2 linked regions of the Diceros bicornis minor genome follow. The protein of the gene in region 1 interacts with the protein of each later gene in a pairwise test. Links are inferred from orthologs where the notes say so. Each region holds a gene or a part of one and is shown in the gene's direction. Other genes may lie near its edges. The genes, in order: DNAJB11 and UBR1.

Region 1 (11,592 bases):
TTGTTTTTAACTGCAGCAAAGCTGACTAATATAATAGTGGCTCCAAAGGTAGAAGACACCTAGATCCCTGAGTCACTGCTTGGACAACAGCAGCCTAGAGACTCATCCGACCAGATGCCCTGTGTTGGATGGCTGCATGAATGAGAATAAACTGTGATTGTGCTAAGCCACTGAAATGCAGGGATTGCTTGCTACATAATTAGCCTACTTTGATTAATATACTTTCTCTGTCAAGTCTTTCCTGATTATCAGAATTAATCATTCTCTTCTTTATTCTATTTCTGTACTTTATGCATACTTTTATTATTGTACATTCCACACTATTAAATAGCACTTTTTTACACACCAGCCTCCCCTACTAGTCTATGAGCTCCATGAGGGCAGAGACGCTGTTCTAATCATCTTTGAATGATTAGAAGATGCTCACTTAAAAACAGTAAGGTGCTCTGAGTGTAACATATCAGTGGTTCATAAGCAATCTCTCACCTAAAAATATTTTTAAAGTCAATGAAAGTATTTCCCTCTTTCAATTACAGGGTTCCTGTAACATTATTGTTTTGGAAACATAACATACATACATATACAAACATACATATACATATACAACCAGACCTGATTTCTTTGCTTTTCGACTTCATCCTCAGACATGCAGTTGGACAGAATCTCAGACCATTCCAGGCGCTCCTCCGGTGTCTTCACTGCAAGACTATCAAATATTTCGAAGTAAAGCCACGCCAGATCCTTAGCCAACTGCAGCTTCCCACATGCAATGTGCCTCCATGTAGACCAGTACAGGCGTGGGTAAGCTCTCTCTGTGGCCCTGGTTCGCACATAGGTAGATATCTTCCTGAGATAGTGAAGACTGAACTTGGATGGAGGGGGGACCTGCAAGGCACCCACTATAAAAGGTTCTGCTTTCACCCAGAGGAGAACTCCGGACTGATCCATGTTATCTCTAAGGACATCTGTGTGAAAAGGTTTCTTTGCATACCTAGGAAACAAAGTTTCTTCACAAACTGATTCCAAACAAAACTCATTTGTACATTTTCTGGTAACATGACCCCTCCTTTAACGTTTTTAAATGTACTATGTCAGTTTAAAAAGCAGATCTAGTTCATCAACCAAGAGCAGAATAGATTTTTGGTCAGATCTCATTATAATCTATTTGAGCAAGAAAAATTTTGTGATAAAACAAAATTATCCTACTTGAATTGTTCCAAGTGATTGCTTTAGAAAGAGTGTGTAAATGCAAGAGGTATAAGTTGGATCTCTCCTCAGGACAAGAAGAAAAGAAGAAATGGGGAAAAGGGTCAGCCTATCATAGAAAATTTTGCTCTACTCTTAGGCGAACACTAGTCAAAATAAGGGGAATAAAATTTTCAGAGTCAAATCACTTACACATAGAGGACAATTGGTTAAAGATTTGTTAGCCGACCATATAAGCTCAATATGAAACGCTAACAGGAGGTGGCAGACAAGAATGCTCGTGTAAATGTAGGCTGCAAAAACAGATGAAGTTAAAGAATCTTTATTCTCTGTAACAGTGAACCTGCTCTGGCATATTTTATTGCGCTTCGTTCAGATGCGGTATTTTTAGATTTTTTTTATTGTTTCTTCGTTATAACAACAATACACTATTTTATGGAATATTTATAAAATATCTAAAAACAGAAGGGAAGCAAATCATCCACAGTCCCACCATCAAAGGGAAATTAGTTAATATTTTATTGTACTTCCTTCTTGTCTTTTTTTCTACACAGACTGGATGTTGGTTTTTGAATTTTCATAGTTGCGATAATACCATATATACAATCTGTATTATTTTAAAAGCTTCATAGCACTCTAAACAAATGTACCTCAGTTTACTCAACTGTTTTCCTATTTTCAGATATTTAGTAGTTTTAAAATTTTTCACAAAAATAAGATAGGCAAAATATTGATCATTGTTGAAGCTGGATGATGAGCACATGAGGGTTCATTTACCTACTCTACTTTTGTGTATGTTAAAATTTTCCACTATAAAAAGTTTAAATGTTTTCATTATTATAAAAAATGCTAAATTACCATCTTTCTACATATTTTCTGCATTATGATTATTTTCCAGAGAAAATTTTCAGATGTGCATTTGTGAAATGAAGTAATTGACCTTTCTGAAGCTCCTGACACGTATTTCTACTGCTTTCCAAAATGACTATCAAATTGTACCAACATTTGACCAAGGTACCCTCTTCATTGAACACTCCTCAGCATTAAGTAACAGCACTTAAAAAACCATATTCAGGGGCTGCCCCAGCGGCTTAGTGGTTAAGTTCCCGTGCTTTGCTTCAGTGGCCTGGGGTTTTGCAGGTTCAGACCCCCAGGTTTGGATCCCTGGCCCAGACCTACAAACTGCTCATCAAGCCACACTGTGGCTACATCCCATATACAAAACAGAGGAAGATGGGCACAGATGTTAGCTCAGAGCTAAATCTTCCTCAGCAAAAAGAGGAAGACTGGCACTGGATGTTAGCTCAGGGCCAATCTTCCTCAGAAAAAAAAAAAAACATCCTTACATGAGTGATGAAAAATGTTTTATTGCTATTATTATATTTTGCATTTGATTCTAAAAAAATCGTCCTTCTTTGGGGAATTATCTGTTCAAAAAATAGTTGATATCAATTCAGTGCTTACTATGTGCCAGGAAGCATGCTAAATATTTTGTGTTCTTCACCTCCTCTCGTCCTCACAACCGCTTGGAGATACACACAGTTATCCCCATTTTCAGATGAGAAAACTGAGGCTTGGAGAAGGGACTTACCCAAAGTCACACACTTATGTTGGCACAGCCCTGGATTAGAATTCAAGTCTGTCTGATCTGAGAACTGTGTTATTTACAAATGTACTTTAAGAACCCAGTTTTGGGAGAATCTCTGAAAAATGGGCGGGGATCCAGGAGAGGATTACCAGAATGAGTGGCCTTAGACGTGAGGCCATATAAGGGCCAGGTGAAGGAACACGGGAGCAGGAACACAAAAGAAGGGTGTGAGAGGGTAAATGGCAGCTGTCTTTAAACATGGGAATGGCTTAGCGTCGCTCCGAGTAAAACCAGACGATGGAAGTGACGTGAGGAAGATCCTGGTTCGCCCCCAAATGGAAATAGGCTGCTGCGTGAGGCCTGAGCTCTTGTCCCTAAAGTGTGCCATCAAAAGCCAGCTCCCGGGGATGAACCGTCTATTCTACCTCCGAGATTCGAGAGGGCTACATTCGTAAACACATAAACCGGGGCTCTTTCCCTCTTCAAAAGCTTCCCCGGGGTGCGCTGGGGTCAGGGTTTTTCGGGCGGGGAGATCGGCGTGAGGATCAAGGCGGTCCTCCTGAGGCTTCTCCGCCACCTCGGACGCTGTCCGGGGTAGGACGCTGTCCGGGGTAGGACGCGGTCCCAGGGGCGGGCGCGGTCCGGGAGCGGGCGCGGCGAGGGCCGCCAAAGCGCCCCGACCGGACTTCGGGAACAGAGAAGCCCCGCGTGTCAGGGTGCTTGGCGGACCCGAGACCTGATGAGCACGAAGGCAGCCTCCCCAGCCCGAGCCTGAAGCGTAACGGGCCTACCTCTCCCTCCCAGGCGCCAGCCCGCGCGAGTTACCTGAGAAGGCAGGCGCCGCTCCGCCGACCCTCCGCGCGCCGCCGCGCCCTGCTCGCCTGGCCCGCCCCTCAGCCACCGCGCAAGCGCGCGGCCTCGCATCACCGAGACCCGGAGGACTACGCTGCTAGAGCGGCCGACTGCTTCCCCCGCGGTCTGCGGAAACTTTGGCTAAGGCCAAGAGATGCTGGGACCTGGAGCCAGACCCCACCGCTTTCTGGTGTCGCGCCTTTCAACTCAGGGGAGTAGGAAGTTTTCTGTTGCTCCACGGAACTGTGGTAGCCAATAGGTGCTGGTAGGGTCGGCACACTTTGATCAGCAATAATAATGATAATGACAGCTTACATTTATAGAGAGCTTACTATGGGCTGGACACTGTGTAAAACCCCTTTGTATTATCTCAGTCTTCCCACGAGCCCTTTAAGTTAAGTACATTTGTTTTCCTGATGAGGAAACTAGGTCGTAGAGAGGTGAAAGTAACACACCCCTAAGGGCACACAGCAAGAGAGGAGCCAAGATACAAATCCAGGCCGGCGAGAGCCCCCAGGGTTAGCTCCTTAATTCTGTTAGCTTTCTCGCCATGTTACCACCTTCATGAAGCTTGTTTGCATTCCACCCAGCAGAAGACCTCACTCCTTCCTCTAAACCTTCATTTCATGATTTTTGGCCATTTCTTGCTTTCTTAGTTCGTTTATGGACTCTCTAGATGTGGGAGATACAAAGGTAAATAAGGCCATCAAGCGAAGTTTAGTTCTTCCTTTACGTGGCCTCTCTCCCCTAATAGGCACTTCCTGAAAGCAGTAAGCTGTGTTTCTCTTACCTCTGCATGAGTCACTATGTGAAGAGCATGGGCTTTGGATTCAAACAGATCTGGGTTAGGATCCAAGCTGCACGACTAAGTAGCTCAGTGACCTTCAACAGATTCTGTCATCTCTCTATGCCTTTGTTTTCTGCAACAAGTATTTACTGAGCACCACTGTGTGTCTGGCACAGTGCTAAGCACTAGGATTACAGTGTGAACAAAACAGATAAGGTCCTTGCTTTCTTGGAGTGTATATTTTAATAGGGAGAATAGATAATACATATTAAGGAAATAAATTAGGATAATTTCAGATATTAATAAATGCTATGAAGTTTGGGGGTAAGGGGATCAGTGCCAAATTTGAGCTGAAGCCTGAAGAATAAGAAGCCAGCATATGAAGATCACAGTCAAAGCAACTTTTTACTCGGTGGCAGTCTCTGTTCTAAGGTTCGGTTCTACACAGATGTGAAGAGAACAGTTCAGATTCATGGTCTCATGAAAATGGCATTCCAGTGTATGTGAGTGTGGGGGTCAGGGGTAGAAACAATAAGATAAAATAGGGTGGTGTAAGAATAAGGACTCAGGCCAGCCCTGGTGGCCTATTGGTTAAGTCCCGCGTGCTCTGCTTTGGTGGCCCGAGTTTGGTTCGCGGGCTCAGACTTACACCACTTGTCTGACAGTGGCCATGCAGCGGTGGCGGCTCACATACAAAAGATGAGGAAGATTGGCAGCGGATGTTAGCTCAGAGGGACTCTTCTTCAGCAAAAGTAAAAAAAAAAAAGGACTCAGCAGGGGCTAATTTTGATTGGTTGGTCTTCTCTGAAGTGACATTTAAGCTGATATCTGAGTTTAAAAAGGAGTCACTTATGTTAGGATCTAAGGGAAGAGTGTTTCAGGCAGAGAGAACAGCTAGAACAAACGCCATTGGCAGGAATGAGTTTGGTGTATTCAAAAAAGAGAAAGGAAACCAGTTTTGCTGGAACATGGTAAGGAGTATACTAGATGAGGGTACAGATCATATAAGGTTTTTAAAAAATTTTCTTCCAGCTTTATTGAGACATATAAGGTTTTATAAACTAGCATAAAAAGTTGGGATTTTATTCTAAGTGCACTGAAAAGCCATTCGAGTCTGAAGCAGGGGAATGACACGATCTGACATGTTTGTAAAAAAAATCATGGGGTGGGGGGCAGGAATGAACAAGAGATATTAAGAGTGGAGGCAGGGAGACCAGTTAGGAGGCCCTTGCCAGGTAAGAGATGATGTGACTTGGCCCAGAGAGGTAGTCGAGATGTACAGTAGCGGGCAGATTCAGGATATAGTTTAAGAGCAAAGATCTGGATAGGGGATGCAGGAGAGGAATCAAGGAAGACACCTAGAATTTTGTCGTTAACAACTAGGTAGTGCGTTCACTGAGATAAGCAAAAGTAGGTGGGGGGAATCAAAGAGTTCTCGTAACTGTGATAAGTTATTATTCGTTGCGTGCTTACAGTGTGCCAGACGGTTTACAAATTTTTCTCCCCCTAAAATTTCACACCACTGCCAGTAAATGTTTTGCCTCAGGTTCGTAAATAAAGAAGCTTGGCTAAAGTGGGAGGCGAGGGACGGAGGTGTTCTCACCGCTAAGAAGTGGTGGGAGCTGAATCCGAAGCTAAGTCTCTCTGCCTCCACGGCCTCTTCTCTCTGAGGTACCAGGCCTCTCCTCTGTGAAACAGAGACAATTTTCTCCTTGGCTTGTTAGGAGAAGGTGAAAAAAGATCTCCCAAGCGATGCGTCCGCCATACCATTGGCCTGGAGTAATTGTCCCCGCCCATTTCGCCCTAGTCCCTCCGCCCCTTCGCATCCAGCGCGTAGCTCATTATGAATGAAATTCCGAGACTTGTAACCGAGATAAAACGTCCCTCCCGCAATTGGTTAATGCTGGAGGAGGAGCCTCGTGATTGGTGGAGAGTCCGAGGAGGCGGGCGGGGTAAACTTCGTGTACCTCGGGTGTCCTCTATTGGCACCATTTCCCCCCACCCGTTTACGTAGTTTTCTACGACTCGCGGATGCCGGGGTGCCGGATTCCTGCGGCGGCGCGACTATCTGACGTTTCCTCTTCTCATTGGCCGGGAGCTGCGGCTGCAGTTCCGAAGCCTAACTGGCCGCCCGCACCGCCTCGAAGGTGAAGTGTACTGCGCTGATTGGCTGCGAGGCACCGGCCGCGTGTGATGTCCTGAGCAGCGATTGGCTCTCGCCTGCTGGGGGCTTCTCTCACTGGGACTCGGGACTCCCGGGAAGTGGAGGGGCAGAGGAGGGGGCAAGCTAGCTGTCGCTCTGGCCTTAGTGGGAAACCCCGGCGTGAGGTGGTTTCTCAGGGCGGGGTGGGCTGGCGAGCCGACGCGGCGGCGGAGGAGGCTGTGAGGAGCGCGTGGGACAGGGGCCGGCACAGGGACCGGCACAGAGAAATCATGGCCCCGCAGAACCTGGGCACCTTCTGCCTGTTGCTGCTGTACCTCATCGGGGCTGTGATCGCCGGGTGAGGAACAGGCACCTGTGGGCACGGGGCCCGCGAGTCAGTCTTGGCTGGGGAGGAGGCTGGGGGAGGGAGAGGGCATTGCTGTGGTGAGGCGGTGAGACAGAGGAATGGGTAATGTGGGCCAGGCTAATGGGGTGGAGAGGAGAGCAGTGCGTGACACGATGGAGAGGAGCTTAGATCCACGGGCCCTGAAGAGCTAGATTTGCCCAGAGGAGTGGGAGTTGGATGCAGTGCCAAACACAACGTGTATGTGTTGGGTGGGAGGGGGTGTGCTGAGCTAGAGAAGAGGACGATACAGTGTTGATCCTGCACGAACCGTTGAGGGACTGTCATTTAAAGTGGGTGGGTTATGATGCTAGGCCGAGTGAGGAAGGGGAGAACAGATAGGGAAGCCATCCTGGGACTGAAGGAAATTGGATTGAGGGAGCAAGGCAGACCCTTTGGAGAGCCCTTGTACTTCCCAGCTTCTTGAGATAAGGAGCCTAAACTGTCTTCGTGCCTCACTGTCTCTCTCCATGGTACATTCTTGAGAAGCTGAATGCTATTATGAGCGGGAAGAGCATTTCATCAACAGATAGTAGACTGGGATTTTAGCCTACACACTCCCACCCCATTTATGAATTATATGACCTTGAAGGAACCACCTAAATTCTCATCTGTAACATGAGGGTGATAATGCACCACCTGTCTGAAGGGAGTAGGACCGCCTGAACTCGAGGATCTTTCCAGCCTTTAAGATCCATGATCCCATAAGCCTGGTGACCACAGGATATGATATGCAAGGCTCATATTTTAGAGTGTTGGGAAGTAAGGTCTTAGCTTCTAATAACTTATAGGTTGCTCTAAATGGAGAAGATGCTACCTAGCAGAGCTTTAACATTTAAGTGCTTGTTATTCTCTTAAAAATTTTTTCCCTGTTCATATATGCTTAAACTTTATAGTTATTTTTTTTCTTGTGAAACATCTTAAATTTCTAAAAAAAATTAACTTCTCCTAGGTAATACTTTGTTTTTCTTAGTACGTTTTTGTTAGTACTTTTTACATTTAAAAGCAACAAGTACTGTAAGGTGTTTAAACAAAATGTCTCTATAAATATTGTTAATACTGTCACTTTAAACTTCAGTCCTTCATAAAGGAGTCTCTTGGAAACTGTAATGTTGATGCTGAGCTATGCCAGCCATCTTTTTCTTGTATTTTTCTGAGCTGTTACTTAACCATTTTTTTATTAAGCATATTCTATGTAAGCCTCATTCTTTATACAGTTAGCTCTTTTGTTATTAATTTTAATGAACCTTTCAATTTATTTAGTTCTTGTCACAAGAGATATCAAGTTTTCGCATTTTTAGGGGGAGCATAAAGCACCTAATTAATCCTCGTGGAACCCCTTTTGGGTGATAACTTTAAAAACTTATACATGAAATGATTAAATGATTTTCCTAAGTGTGACTAAGAGCTTATGAAATAATTTTTTTAATATTCTGTCTCACATCACCTGGCTCTCAGTACCCCAATGCATTTTTTCCCCACTGCATTTTAAAATTACCATCACTACTACATCAGCGTCTCCATTGTGAACAACTTTCCTATCCCTTTTCTTGGAAGAAGGCATTTTCAGAATAACTTCTGGTGGCTAAAGTGACTCTGGCAAAAGGAATAGATTTTTGTGGGCATGCTTATTTATTCATTTCATTCAACAAATATTTATTGGTGTCTTCTATGGGCTGGAAACAGTCCCTGCCCTGAAAGTTTATTATAGTCTTATTCTATCTTCGCATTGGCCCTTCTTGCAAAGATTCTCTTTACAATTAATTTGGTTCCAGCATAGTCCCTGGCAAGGAGGTCAGTGGATCTCTACCTTATCTCCACGCTCATGCCATATGCATATTTGCAGCTGCTGAGGCTTACAGGCTCCTGCATACGGGCTTCAGCAGCTGTCTACAATTAAGACTTGACCTAGACAAACTCGTATAACTGCTAGCAATGACTGCAAGATTGATATTTTTTCTCTCAGCAAAAAACCCCACAACTCATACATCCAAATGGGTGTAATTCTTTCTTCAAGGTTCTTATTTGGGCTTTGGCTTAACCTCTAAATTAACCTCTGAAGTTAACTTCAGTCACTTCATCTTTAACATTCCAACAGTGCTGCTGGTAGTCAGAACATTTATGTGACATAATCTTTTTGAATAAAGAAAGTCATCCTCTGAGATTATTTGACCTTTGGAAACAGTCAAAAGTCATTTGAAGTCAGTAATAGGGAGAAGAAGGAGAGAGTTAATTTGATTATACCGTTATTGGTTGAAAAGAACATGTGGCCATAAAATAAGAAAATGGTTTTCTTGACTAAAGGAATTCTGTAGATGTTTTGAATAATTCTAGCATTGTTCAAAAAATACATAGCCTCTTGAAGAGGCTTGTGAAGAAATCACAAGAAGAAATCTTGTGATTTCTTCAATATTTAAGACTCATTACAAATTATGATGTGTTCTCTTTTTAGTCTTTCTTTTTTGTGTATGTGTGTTACATGTGTACCTTCATTTTCCTACATCTTTGCTCAGACGTAAACCTAAATGTAAAGGAAAAAGCTTTGCTTTAAAAATGTAATGTATAACTCTTTAATGAAGTATCCTCTTTGTCTACCCCCTCCCCAGGCGAGATTTCTATAAGATCTTGGGGGTGCCTCGCAGTGCCTCTATAAAGGATATTAAAAAGGCCTACAGGAAACTAGCCCTGCAGCTTCATCCTGACCGGAACCCTGATGATCCACGAGCACAGGAGAAGTTCCAGGATCTGGGTGCTGCTTATGAGGTGAGTCAGGAAAAAGGGTAAAGTATGAATAAAACCTACGGATACAGAAAAGACCATGTAACACAGAGTAACACTTCTTCTTTTTAAAAATAGACAGTAGATAAAAGTAAAAGTACTGTGTGGTGCTATGTTGTACATTCATGTTAGTAAATGCCATTTCCTGCCTTTTTCATATTAGTATTTGTTTTATTAAGGAGAATAATGTTGAAAAAGGTGAGTGAAAGAAAGAAAGGAAGATTGATAGATTAATAAGTTGATTGATCATCAGGCAGTCAGTTTGGGAGCTGGAGCCAGAAAGAGAAACAAAATCTAAATGAGGATTGCAAACCATATGCCCATATGGACCAGACAAATAACATGCAGGGCAGGTATAAGATAAAACATGACAGTGGATTTTCTTACTTCCATTTTGGGAATCAACAGATATTGATGAGGACTGTGATAGACTGACACCTTCCTTGCCCCATTTCAAGGGAGTAGCTCTTATTCAACCCTAGCCAGTTTTTGCCATATACAAATGCAAACACTGTGTTGCCAGATCATTTAATTTTTCAAGAGAAGTGGAAATCCAGATTTTTATATAGATTCTCCTGATTGTAAAATTTTGGTAACTAATTGAATTTAAAAATTACTTTTCACGCAGATCAAACAAAACACAGCTATAGTTTGAATTTGGAACCTCTAATCTAGAGGTCAAAACACCTTCATGTGTATCATCTCATTTAATCTTTACTAGTACACTGTGAAATAGAGTAGAGCTGGGCATATTCTTATTCCCATTTTTTTTAAACAACACCAAAGAATATTTATTGAATGCTTAATAAACTGTTTACTCTTGAAAAACTGTTATACACAGAACCTGTCAACACTTTGGTAAAAAAATTTACAAATAAGCTATTGATAATCTTTCACATCTATTAATTTAGGAGTTAGCTCTTTTGTATGTGTTGCAATTCACCTTTCCTTTAGAAATAGAATAAGAGATCTTGGTTTTGTTTTTTTTCCTGCTTTATTGAGGTATAATTGACAAAATTGTAAGATATTTACAGTGTACATCATGATGATTTGATATACATATATATTATGAAAGGATTCAGCCCATCTGGTTAATTAACACGTCCATCACCTCACATATTTATCCTTTTTTTGGTGAGAACATTTAAGTTCTGCTTTCTTAGCAAATTTCAATAATACAATACAGTGTTATCAACTCTAGCCACCATTTATTCCCGTTTTCTAAAAGGGCACAGAAAAACAAATTTAATTCCAAAAGTCATGGAGCTAAAACTTCCAAATTCAAGTTAAATCCGTGTATGGTGAGAAGGCTGGAAACAAATCTGAACAATATTTTAGTAGTGGAAAAAACCCAAAAGGAAGGATTCCAAGGCCTCCTAGATTAAAGAAAAGAGTGAACTAAAACAGTGACCTATACAGCTGAAACCTAGAACTAATGGGGTCCATCTTTCTAATCTTGACACCTTCAGGCATCCTACAGGACTAAAATTCCTCACAAGGGGCCCACAAATAAACTTGAGAGGGTTGGTGGACCCTGTTAAATTATATGTAACATTTTGTTTCTTGTTGGTATATGGATTCCATATTTTGCACTGTATTTCCCATGAATATTCCCATTGTTTGCTAGGAACCAGTACTCAAAAATATTTTCTAGGGAAGTTGTTAAGAATTTACCATGCTCTGTATAGAATCTGCCATGTTCTTTAGCCATGACCTAGGCAGGCTATACACAGATCATTCATGAGATTGCAGTTTATTTAACTCTAAGAACCTTTCTAGTCACTAGCTCAAATTTTCTTTTTTCTTTTTATCATTCACTTGATTGCGTTTGGTCC
Region 2 (10,977 bases), on another chromosome or scaffold:
CACTAAGAAGGAAAACTACAGACCAATATTGCTGATGAACATAGATGCAAAAATCCTCAATAAAATATTGGCAAACTGAATACAGCAATGCATTAAAAAGATCATATACCATGATCAAGTGGGATTTATACCAGGGACTCAGAGATGGTTCAACATCCACAAATCAATCAATGTGATACACCACATTAACAAAACGAGGAATAAAAACCATATGACCACCTCAATAGATGCAGAGAAGGCTTTTGACAAGATCCAACATCCATTTATGATAAAAACTCTCAACAAAATGGGTATAGAAGGAAAGTACCTTAACATAATAAAGGCCATATACAACAAACCCACAGCCATCATCATACTCAATGGGGAAAAACTGAAAGCCATCCCTCTGAAAACAGGGACAAGGCAAGTGTGCCCACTCTTGCCACTCTTTTTTTTTTTTTTTTGCTAAATGATTTTTTTAATAATTTTATTTATTTATTTTTCACCCAAAGCCCCAGTAGACAGTAGTATGTCATAGCTGCACATCCTTCTAGTTGCTGTATGTGGGACACGGCCTCAGCATGGCCAGAGAAGTGGTGCGTTGGTGCACACCCAGGATCCAAACCCGGGCTGCCAGCAGCGGAGGGCGCCCATTTAACCGCTAAGCCATGGGGCCGGCCCTTGCCACTCTTATTCAACACAGTACTGGAGGTTCTGGCCAGAGCAATTAGGCAAGAAAAAGGAATAAAAGGAATCCAAATAGGCAACGAAGAAGTGAAACCGTCGCTGTTTGCAGATGACATGATCTTATATATAGAAAACCCTAAAGAACCATTAGAAAACTATTAGAAATAATCAACAACTACAGCCAAGTGGCAGGGTACAAAATCAACTTACAGAAATCAGTTGCATTTCTATATACCAACAACGAACTGACAGAAAGAGAACTCAAGAAGACAATCCTATTTACAACTGCAACAAAAAGAATAAAATATCTAGGAATAAATTTAACCAAGGAAGTGAAAGACCTATACCATGAAAACTATAAGACACTATTGAGCGAAATCAATGATGACATAAAGAAATGGAAAAATATTCCTTGCACTTGGATTGGAAGAATAAATATAGTTAAAATGTCCATACTACCTAAAGCAATCTACAGATTCAATGCAATCCCAATCAGAATCCCAAGGACATTCTTCACAGAAATAGAACAAAGAATACTAACATTCATATGGGGCAACAAAAGACCCCGTATAGCTAAAGCAATCCTGAAAAAGAACAAGGCTGGAGGCATCACAATCCCTGACTTCAAAACATACTACAAAGCGATAGTAATGAAAACAGCATGGTACTGGTACAAAAACAGACACACAGATCAATGGAACAGAATTGAAAGTCCAGAAATAAAACCTCATATCTATGGGCAGCTAATCTTTGACAAAGGAACTAAGGACATACAGCGGAGAAAGGAAAGTCTCTTCAATAAATGGTGCTGGGAAAATGGACAGCCACTTGCAAAAGAATGAAAGTAGAACACCTTCTTTCGCCATACACAAAAATTAACTCAAAATGGATCAAAGACCTGAAGGTGAGACCTGAAACTATAAAACTCCTGGAGGAGAATATAGGTAGTACACTACTCGCCATCAGCCATAAAGGGATCTTCTTGAATTCCATGTCTACTCAGACAAGGGAAACAAAAGAAAAAATAAACAAGTAGGACTTCATCAGATTAAAGAGCTTCTACAAGGCAAGTGAAACCAGGATGAAAATGAATAGGGAACCCACCAGCTGGGAAAAAATATTTGCAAACCGTATATCTGACAAGGGATTAATCTCCATAATATATAAAGAACTCACACAACTGAATAACAAAAAAACAAACAACTCAATCAAAAAATGGGCAGAGGAAATGAACAGACACTTCTCCAAAGAAGATATACAGATAGCCAATAGGCATATGAAAAGATGCTCAACATCACTAGTCATCAGGGAAATGCAAATCAAAACCACACTAAGATATCACCTTACACCCATTAGAATGGCTATAATCACCAAGACAAAAAGCAACAAATGCTGGAGAGGCTGTGGAGAAATGGGAACCCTAATCCACTGCTGGTGAGAGTGCAAACTGGTGCAGCCTCTATGGAAAACAGTATGAAGATTCCTCAAAAAATTAAAAACAGAAATACCTTATGATCCAGCTATCCCACTACTGGGTATCTACCCAACGAACCTGAAACCAACAATCCAAAGAGGCTTATGCACCTCTATGTTCATTGCAGCATTATTCACTATAGCCAAGACATGGAGGCAACCCAAGTGTCCCTCAACTGATGAATGGATAAAGAAGATGTGGTATATATATATACCATGGAATACTACTCAGCCATAAAGAAAGACAAAATTGTCCCATTTGCAACAACATGGATGGACCTGGAGAGTATTATGTTAAGTGAAATAAGCCAGAAAGAGAAAGACAAACAGTGCATGATTGCACTCATATGTGGAAGATAAACCAACACATGCACAGATAGAACTATTTGGTGGTTACCAGGGGGTGGGGGGTGGGCACAAGGGGTGGAGGGATGCACTTATAGGAGGACTGATAAACAATAATGTACAACAAAAATTTCACAAAAAAAAAAACATTTTACACAAGGAATAAATAGTTATTAAGAAAATACAGTTAGGTAGAAAGAAGAAAATAAAAATTTCCACAATTATGCAATCCTGGGATACCCAAGAGTAACACTTTGGTCATTAGTATTTTTCATTAAATATCTAGGTGCATTTTTTGTCTTACAAAAATAGATTCATAGTGTTTTAGTAACTTGCTTTTTCCAACCGATAATATATAGTGAATATCTTACCAAGTCAATAAGAATGCTTTTACAACAATGGCTTTCAAGTTATATGGTCTCAGGATCTTTTCATACTCTTAAAAGTTGGGGATCTCAAAGATATTCCTTTTATGTAGATTATATCTACTGATATTCACTGTATTAGAAAATAAAACTGAGAAAATTTTAAAATATCTATCAATTTGTTTAAAATAAGAATTATCAACTCAATACATGTTAACATAAATAACATTTTTAAATAAAAAATAAGTTTTCCAAACCAAAAATGTATTGAAAAGTGTGGCAATGTTTTGCATTTTTGCAAATCTCTTTAAAAGAAGACAGCTCGGTTCTCACATCTGCTTCTGCACTCAATCTATTGTGATATGTTGTTTTGGTTGAAGTATATGAAGAAAATCTGGCTTCACACAGATACATAGTTGGAATAGGGAGGAATATTTCAATAGTGTTTTCAGATAACTGTGGATATTCTTCTTTGAAACTACACCAGAGCTGGGCAAATAGTAAAATCTTAAAGATCAACTCAACGTGGAATCTGAAATCATATCAATGAAATTTTTGTACTCCATAACATTAAATTCTATTGGTCTATTCAGCAACATGAATGGATCTTTTACCTATGCTTGATCTAGTAACATCCTGCATTTGTCATTTGGAAAATATTGGTTCAGTGAGTTAAACAGATCTTCCAAATGTCAATACATTTCAATATACAATATCCAAAAAATCATACATGTTAATATCATCACCAGTTTCTTTGGGACTTTGTCAAACTCACAGTGCCAGAGACAAGTTCTCCACAAAATGTTTATTTGAAAGCTTGATTTCTATCATAGAGAACAAAATCTGTTAGTTGTTTTTCTTGAAGAGAAAGGCTCACTTGTTCATATCTGAGAAAATGCCTGTCAAATATCTAAGTCTGAAAACCCTAGGGAATCTGTCAGTTGCTCTTTTAAGTAAATATGGTTTTCCATGAAAAAAAGTGGCCAGTTCAGGTAGCAAATCAATCACAGAAGTGCTTCTCAAGTCAACCATCATACTTTTTTACACAGCAGGAAAGCTTTATGTGTGCTTCCTCCTTCATCACATACAGAATATTTAAAAGACTCATGAGTGGGCCAGCCCCATGGCTTAGCAGTTAAGTGCGCGCGCTCTGCTACTGGCAGCCCGGGTTCGGATCCCGGGCACGCACGAACGCACCGCTTCTTCAGCCATGCTGAGGAGGTGTCCCACCTACAGCAACTAGAAGGATGTGCAACTATGACATACAACTATCTACTGGGGCTTTGGGGAGAAAAAGGGGGAAAAAAAAAAGGAGGATTGGCAATAGATGTTAGCTCAGAGCCAGTCTTCCTCACCAAAAAAAAAAAAAAAGAGGAGGATTGGCATGGATGTTAGCTCAGGGCTGATCTTCCTCACACACACACAAAAAAGACTCATGAGTTGAGATTTAATAAAATTAATAATTTTTACTGCTTCATCACAGACATTGTTAAGAGAAACACACTTTTTTTTTTTAACTGCAAGAGCATGGTGGTGAAGAAATTACTAATTCCTAGTTTGTAAGTCACTTTGCTGACTAGTTGAGTTTGATGCCACTAGCTTTATTTTGTGGTAAGGGGCCAGCAGTTTCACCTACTATTGCTTCTGCACTATAAGTACAAATACCAACATGGTTTTAAAAAAAGGCACATAACTTCTTTGTTATTACTGTACTATAAAAAGTTTTTACTTCACAGAATTCGAGTCTTGAGAACTCTTAGAGGGTCTGTGGACCACAATTTGAGAATCAATGTTCTACAACATTTTTAATGGCTGCAGGGTATTACATTGCATGGGTGACTACAGTTAATTTAGCCGATATCCTTTCTTGTTGGACTTTTGAGTTGTTTCTAATTTTTCTCCATTTCTAGTAATGATGTAGTTAAAATTTCACTTGCATCCTGAATTATTTCTCTAGGACACAGTCTTAAAAATGGAATTGCTGAGCCAAAGAGTATGCATTTAAAAAAAAATGCCTTTTGGGGGCCGGCCTGGTGATGTATTGGTTAAGCTCACATGCTCTGCTTAGGTGGCCCAGGGTTCACAGGTTCGAATCCTGGGCTCGGCCAACGTACCACTCATCAAGCCATGCTGTGGTGGTGTCCCACATACAAAGTAGAGGAAGATGGGGAGAGATGTTAGTTCAGAGCAAATCTTCCTCAGCAAAGAGAGGGAGATTGGCAACAGATGTTAGCTCAGGGCCAATCTTCCTCACTGAAAAAAAAAAAAAAGGCTTCTGAATATTACCACATTGTCTTCTTGTGGGTTTACCAATTTACATAACCACACATGAGTATCCTTCCAGCTTACCAATAATGGTTATCATTTTTTTTTTTAAAGCATTTTTTTTTTCTGGGAAAGATTTGCCATGAGCTAACATCTGTTGCTAATCTTCCTCTTTTTTTCTTTTTCTCCTCCTTAAAGCCCCAGTAGTTATATATTCTAGTTGTAAGTCCTTCCAGTTCTTCTATATGAGCGACTGCCACAGCACCGCTACTGAAAAGACAAGTGGTGTGGTTCCTTGCAGGAACCGAACCCAGGCTGCTGAAGGGCAGCCTGCCAAACTTGAATCACTAGGCCATCAGGGCTGGCTCAACAATGGTTACCTTTAAGAAAAAAAAAAAACTTACCAAATTTTTAGGCAATATATAGAATCCCATTTCTGCTTAATTTGCATTTATTTGCCTACTAGATAGGTTTTTAAATACATTTATAAAAATCGGTAAGTTGCATATTTATGTATTTTGCCCTTTTTCCTATTGGAATAGTCTCATTTGGGGTTTTATCCTTTAGTCTGTCATGAATGTTGTAGACATTTCTTCCCAGTTTTTGTTTACTTTTTAACTTTGTGTAGTTTATTTTATATGTAAGTTATTAATTTTGATAAAATTACTTATCAGTCTTTTTATATTTTCTGCTTTTGGTGTCATGCTTTAAAAAGCCTTCTCCATCCCAATATTAAAGAAATATTTACTTATTTGCTTTCTTTTTTAGTAGTTAACTCATCAATTCATTGGGAATTATTCTGATATATGATTTGAGATGAAGATCTGACTTAATCTTTTCCCAAACAGTTTATTTCTTTCCAGAGTGTTATGAGCTTTATTACTATTTTTCCCTTTGTTAAAAAAAATATTTTAACATCATTTGTTTTGTAAACAATTTAAAACAATATAAATGAAGCTAACGTAGCTCTTGACCACCTTCCTCCTCTCTTGGTCCTCAGAGCTAACTATTATTAGTTTGTTCTCTTCCCTTTCAGGCTGTTTCCTTCATATTTACATGTAGGTAAGCACAAATATATAGTTTGTGGCAACTTGGTTGTTTTTCCCCCCTCAATTAATTTATCTTTATCTTTTTACATAAATCTATCTTGTTTTTTTTAAAGAGCTGCATCGTGTCCCGTAATGCAAATGTACCACATTTATTCTGTCTTCCCTCTACCGAAGAACGACTAGAAGGTTTCCAATTTTTCATTTCTTCAGCACCTCCCCCCAAAACGCTGGGGCTCAAGCTTTCTTGTGGCAGGTACAAGTGGCCACAGACTACATTCCTAAAGATGGAAGAGCTTTGAGTACTTTTTCATTTTGCGGGCTCTGGGGAGCCACTGCAGGTACGTCGAGAGACAAAACAAACCCAGACCAACAACCGGGCCAGGAGACCCAGTACAGGTCCTTGGCCTCTCACAATTTTCTTCCTTTCACAATGGACGCTGAATTTGTTTTTTACCTCGCAGACGCAACGGTTCCCAGGACCGAAACCGAATTTACAGCCACTCACCCACCAAGCACTATGATTAAGAAATTACGGGAAGGAAAACCTCCAGCCGTACACGCCACGCCGTGATGCTTGCTTCCGGGAAGCGGAACGGAAGCCGCTCTTCGATTCTGCGTCAAACTCGACTTCAGGGGCCGTCGTAAAAGTGTCGCCCCTCGTCTCTCGAACCGGTCACAGGTTTCCGCTTGTCTCCGGCCGGGGGTCTGGAACTACGGGCGTCAGTTTCCCTCAAGATGGCGGAGAAGGAGGCGGTGGGTAGGGAGAGAATGGAAGTCAGCACGGAGTTGCCCCAGAACCCTCAGCGACTGGCGTCTGTAAGTCTTTGTGGGCAAGTTCCTCCCATCCTCCCCAAGTCCGTCCCTACCGCGCTCAGGAAGATGTGGGACTTCACCCCTTATGGAGGCTCTGGGGAGGGGAAGTCGTATGGATTGATCTGGAAGGAAGCCGCTTAATAAAAAGTTAATCATCACCCACACTCCTGCAGGCCAAGTCTACGGAAGATAATGACTTTGCCATTTATTAGTCTTGACGAGCTCAAGCGTGTCTCTATCCTGAAGTAGAAAGAACTGCTGATGTTATTAGAGGGTCTGGTGTGGGGGCTGAGGCGGGGTTACAGGAAGAGCCATTTTTCCTATAGACGCAGTGCTAACCTTTCTTGGTGGTAGGAATCCAGGACGCAGCACCTAGTGTTGTATTGCATAGCTGGCTGGGTGGAGCCTGATAGTGGCAGGAAATGCTGCCACTGTCAACTCATGTCAAGATATGGGGTGTAGAAATTGTAGTCCTTCATTCTAACGTCTTGAGAACCCCAGGCCTAATCCTCAGTGGAAAAACCTGTCATCTGTCGCTGCTATTTAAAGGTGAAGAAGAGACTTCCAGACATTTCAAATCAGCAATACCTTTAATTAATTTCGGAATGTATACTTTGCCCTTATATTTTGAAAGAAGGGGAGGGCAGAGATAGTGAGCAAATTTGAATCAATAGTCTGGCTACAGGGAGAAAGCTGACTGAGGAGTAAGGGGTAATATTAGGGAACGCTCTGGATGTCCCCAGGCATCTAGTGAGGAGATATATAGAAAATATTCAAATGTTGATCACTGCATGATGTTGAGTTTATCAGTTTGTCTTTGTTGCTGCATATAGAAAAGTGTGGGATGTACACCTCTTCCTGAAGTTTCTCTGGTTTGTAGTTTTAATAAAAGCATTCTTGAAGTATTTTAACCCTGCAGACACTTGAGCATTGTTTTATGAGAGAACAGAGTGAGCTCCAGAAATAAGAGACCGGCTGGGAGATAAAAAACAGGTAGGGAGGGAGTTGAAATAAAGGTTTGGCCACCAACTAGGGCAGTGCTTGCAACCATCCTCTACCCCAAAAAACAGTTCAACCTCTTCACCTGGTATTGAAGAAGGAAGCATCTATTTGAGATGATAAGAAATGAGAAGACAGGGAAAGTTTAGAAGCAACTAAAACATCTGGTCTTAATGATAGCTTGTGCTTTGTACATCTTAGAAGGAGTGGAGAAACTAGGTGCTGTGGTCAGATGTGTTGCTGTAATTTTGTATTGCCAAAGGTAACTAGTGCTGATTTAAAGCTTTGATATATTAATTCCTTCCAGGTGGTACAGTAAAACCTTATCAATCTGGACTTCACTTATTTGGAATTGGAGATAATGGTACAGGAATAAAGCTAGAATTAGGAGGCAAACTCTTTACTTCAAGAAATATTAGATTTCTTTAGATAAGGCTTTGAATTTTGCAAAGTAGTAGGTTGATTTCAGAAGTGTAATAGCCTCAGGGAACTCACAGTCTAGTGACAGATAAGACAAGTGCTCAAAGAATTGTAATACAAGATACGGTGGTGGTAAGTGGATGAAGACTTGTGACTGTTAAGCCTCATGATCACTTTTTTGGCTTAGATCTATCTACTTGAGGACTCCAGATATCTTCCTACTTTCCTTTTCTTTTTAAAGCTACCATCTTCAATTTTATCCTGACAGTGGACTAGGATACTGACTTTCCAGTTTACTTCTTTGCTGTTAAGCAAAACAAGTTCAGAGATTCTTTAACATTTGAATGATTTGTATTCTAAATCACCATTCGGAGACAGGGAAAACAAAAATAATAAATATGGGACAGTTACAGAGGTTTAAGAAATCTTACCAGCTTTATTAGAATCTTGTTCCTGGTTATAGTTTCTGTTATTCTTAAATCAAACTTCCTTCTTAGACCCCACGTCATTTTTCTGTCATATTGCTATCAACAAGCATGAAGGCTCTCAAATTCCTAACATCACCTAACATGCAATTAGTGTGAAATAATAGGTATGAATTATCGGACATTTATAAAAGCCATTGCTTAAGAATCGTTAGAGAAGTTGATTCTGTAGGTCTGGGGTGGGGTCCAAGAATTTGCGTTTTCACAAGCATGGCCTGCTGATTCTGAAATCCTGGTCTGTGGGCCACATTTTGAGTAAGACTTAGCTAGACATTTGGAAGTTCTCAATATAGAATTGACAGTCGAGGTTGTGGGAATGGATAAGATCTTTGAGGAGGAGAGATAGAGAGAGAAAAAGAGAGACAGTGTGTGTGTGTGTACATGTACGCAGAGAGAGAGAGACAGACACACATGCACAGAGGGAGGGAGGGAGAGGGAGAGAGGAAGAAGGAGGAGAGACTGGAATGATTGAATTTCAGGGGTAGAAGATGGAGGAAGAGCCAGGGAAGGACCTAGAAAGGGAGCAGCCAAGCAGGTAGGAGGTGAGAGTAGTGCAGTGTCATAGGGTGTAGTTTCTACAAGAAAGTGGTTTATTGGATTCAGGAAGATGAGGACTGAGAAAACAATATTTTTTTTAATTTTTTGAGGAAGATTGGCCCTGTGCTAATATTTGTTGCCAATCTTCTTTTTTTTCTTTTTTCTCCCCAAAGCCCCAGTACATAGTTGGGATCATAGTTGTAGAGTTGTGGGTCTTTTATGTGGGACTCCGCCTCAGCATGGCTTGATGAGTGGGGAGTAGGTCCGTGCCCAGGATCCGAAGTGGTGAACCCTGGGCCACCAAAGCGGAACGCGGGAACCCAACCACTTCGCCACCAGGCTGGCCTCTGTGAGAAAAATTTTAACTCAGAGAGTATGTGGGATGGTCTGACAGAACGTCTGCCTTCTGTCTTCTTTGACTGGATTTTCTTTCATAGGTCCATCTCAGAAGATGTCTCCTGGCAGGGTACTAAGCTGTCTTCTTTTCCCTGTCTATGCCCTCTGTCTCTGTGATTTCATCCAGTTCTGTGGCTTTAAATATCATCTGTATGCGTTCAGTTCCCAAATTTATATCTCTAAGTCATCTCACTTCTGAGCTCCAGAATCACAAATCCAAATGCCTACTTGACGTATCTACTTGGATGTCTGATAAGTGTTTCAAACACAGGGAGCAATTAGGAAGCTGCTGCAGTAACCCAAGTTATAGTTGATGGTGGCTTGTACTAGAGAGCTGTCACTAGAGATGAAGAGAAGTGGATGGATTTGAGAGAGATTTTGGAAGTATTGTAGAAGTAAAAAGATTTGCTTATGGATTAGGCATGAGGGAAAAGGGAGGAAACAGATGACATCTGGGTCCGCAGTTTTTGGCTTAGGCATTCATGGCTGTGGTTGTGCCATATACTGAGAGGAAGGACCGGGTTTGGGGAGAGGAAAGGAAGGGGGCAGATCAAGAGTTTTGTTATCCCTGTCTCAGTAGATGACACTTCTATAATAGCTCTTGAATAGAAACAACTCTCTCTGTTTCCACTCCACCTCTCTAGTCCAAGCCATCATCTGTTGCCTAGGCAATTGCATTGCCTCTTAATTGGTCTCTTTGCTTCCATTTTTGCCCTCTTCCAGTCCATTCTCTACAGAGCAACCAGAGTAGTAATCTTTTTAAGACTAAATCAGATCATGTCAGTCTCCTGCCTAAATCCTTCAGTGGCTTCCCATTGTACTTGGAATAAAATCTAAACTCATTACAAGTCCTTCAAGATTCTGCCTGATCCAGCCCCTACATCTCCCCTCATTTCTTGTTACTTTCTCCTCATTCACTTTTAGCCACCCTGGGCTTGTTAGTTTCTAAAACAAGCCCAAGCTCTATCTTGCTTCAGGCCCTGCACCTTAGCTTGCTGTTCTTTTTTCCTAGAGTGTTTGTCCTATGATTTTTCTTGATACTCACTCTGTCTAAAAGATGGGTTCCTCTTATCAGTCTCTGTCAAAGCACCCTGTTTATTTCCTCCACTGCACCTATGACCATTTGTAATTACTGTATTGTCTTTACTTATTTAAATGTCTGTC

The links.
Region 2: the proteins of DNAJB11 (region 1) and UBR1 interact in a two-hybrid assay, tested with the Homo sapiens proteins (2 studies listed by BioGRID and IntAct). The link is inferred for Diceros bicornis minor from reciprocal best matches to the Homo sapiens genes DNAJB11 and UBR1.

What each region holds. Positions count from the first base shown.
Region 1 is NC_080754.1:37,416,960-37,428,551, reverse strand, and holds the start of DNAJB11 (dnaJ homolog subfamily B member 11), read left to right. Parts: upstream 1-6,732; 5' UTR 6,733-6,866; coding exon 6,867-6,934; intron 6,935-9,585; coding exon 9,586-9,742; intron 9,743-11,592. Other genes in the region: TBCCD1 (TBCC domain-containing protein 1), read right to left, coding at 613-948. UniProt on the Homo sapiens protein: As a co-chaperone for HSPA5 it is required for proper folding, trafficking or degradation of proteins.
Region 2 is NC_080744.1:40,572,587-40,583,563, reverse strand, and holds the start of UBR1 (E3 ubiquitin-protein ligase UBR1), read left to right. Parts: upstream 1-6,651; 5' UTR 6,652-6,898; coding exon 6,899-6,979; intron 6,980-10,977. UniProt on the Homo sapiens protein: E3 ubiquitin-protein ligase which is a component of the N-end rule pathway. Recognizes and binds proteins bearing specific N-terminal residues that are destabilizing according to the N-end rule, leading to their ubiquitination and subsequent degradation.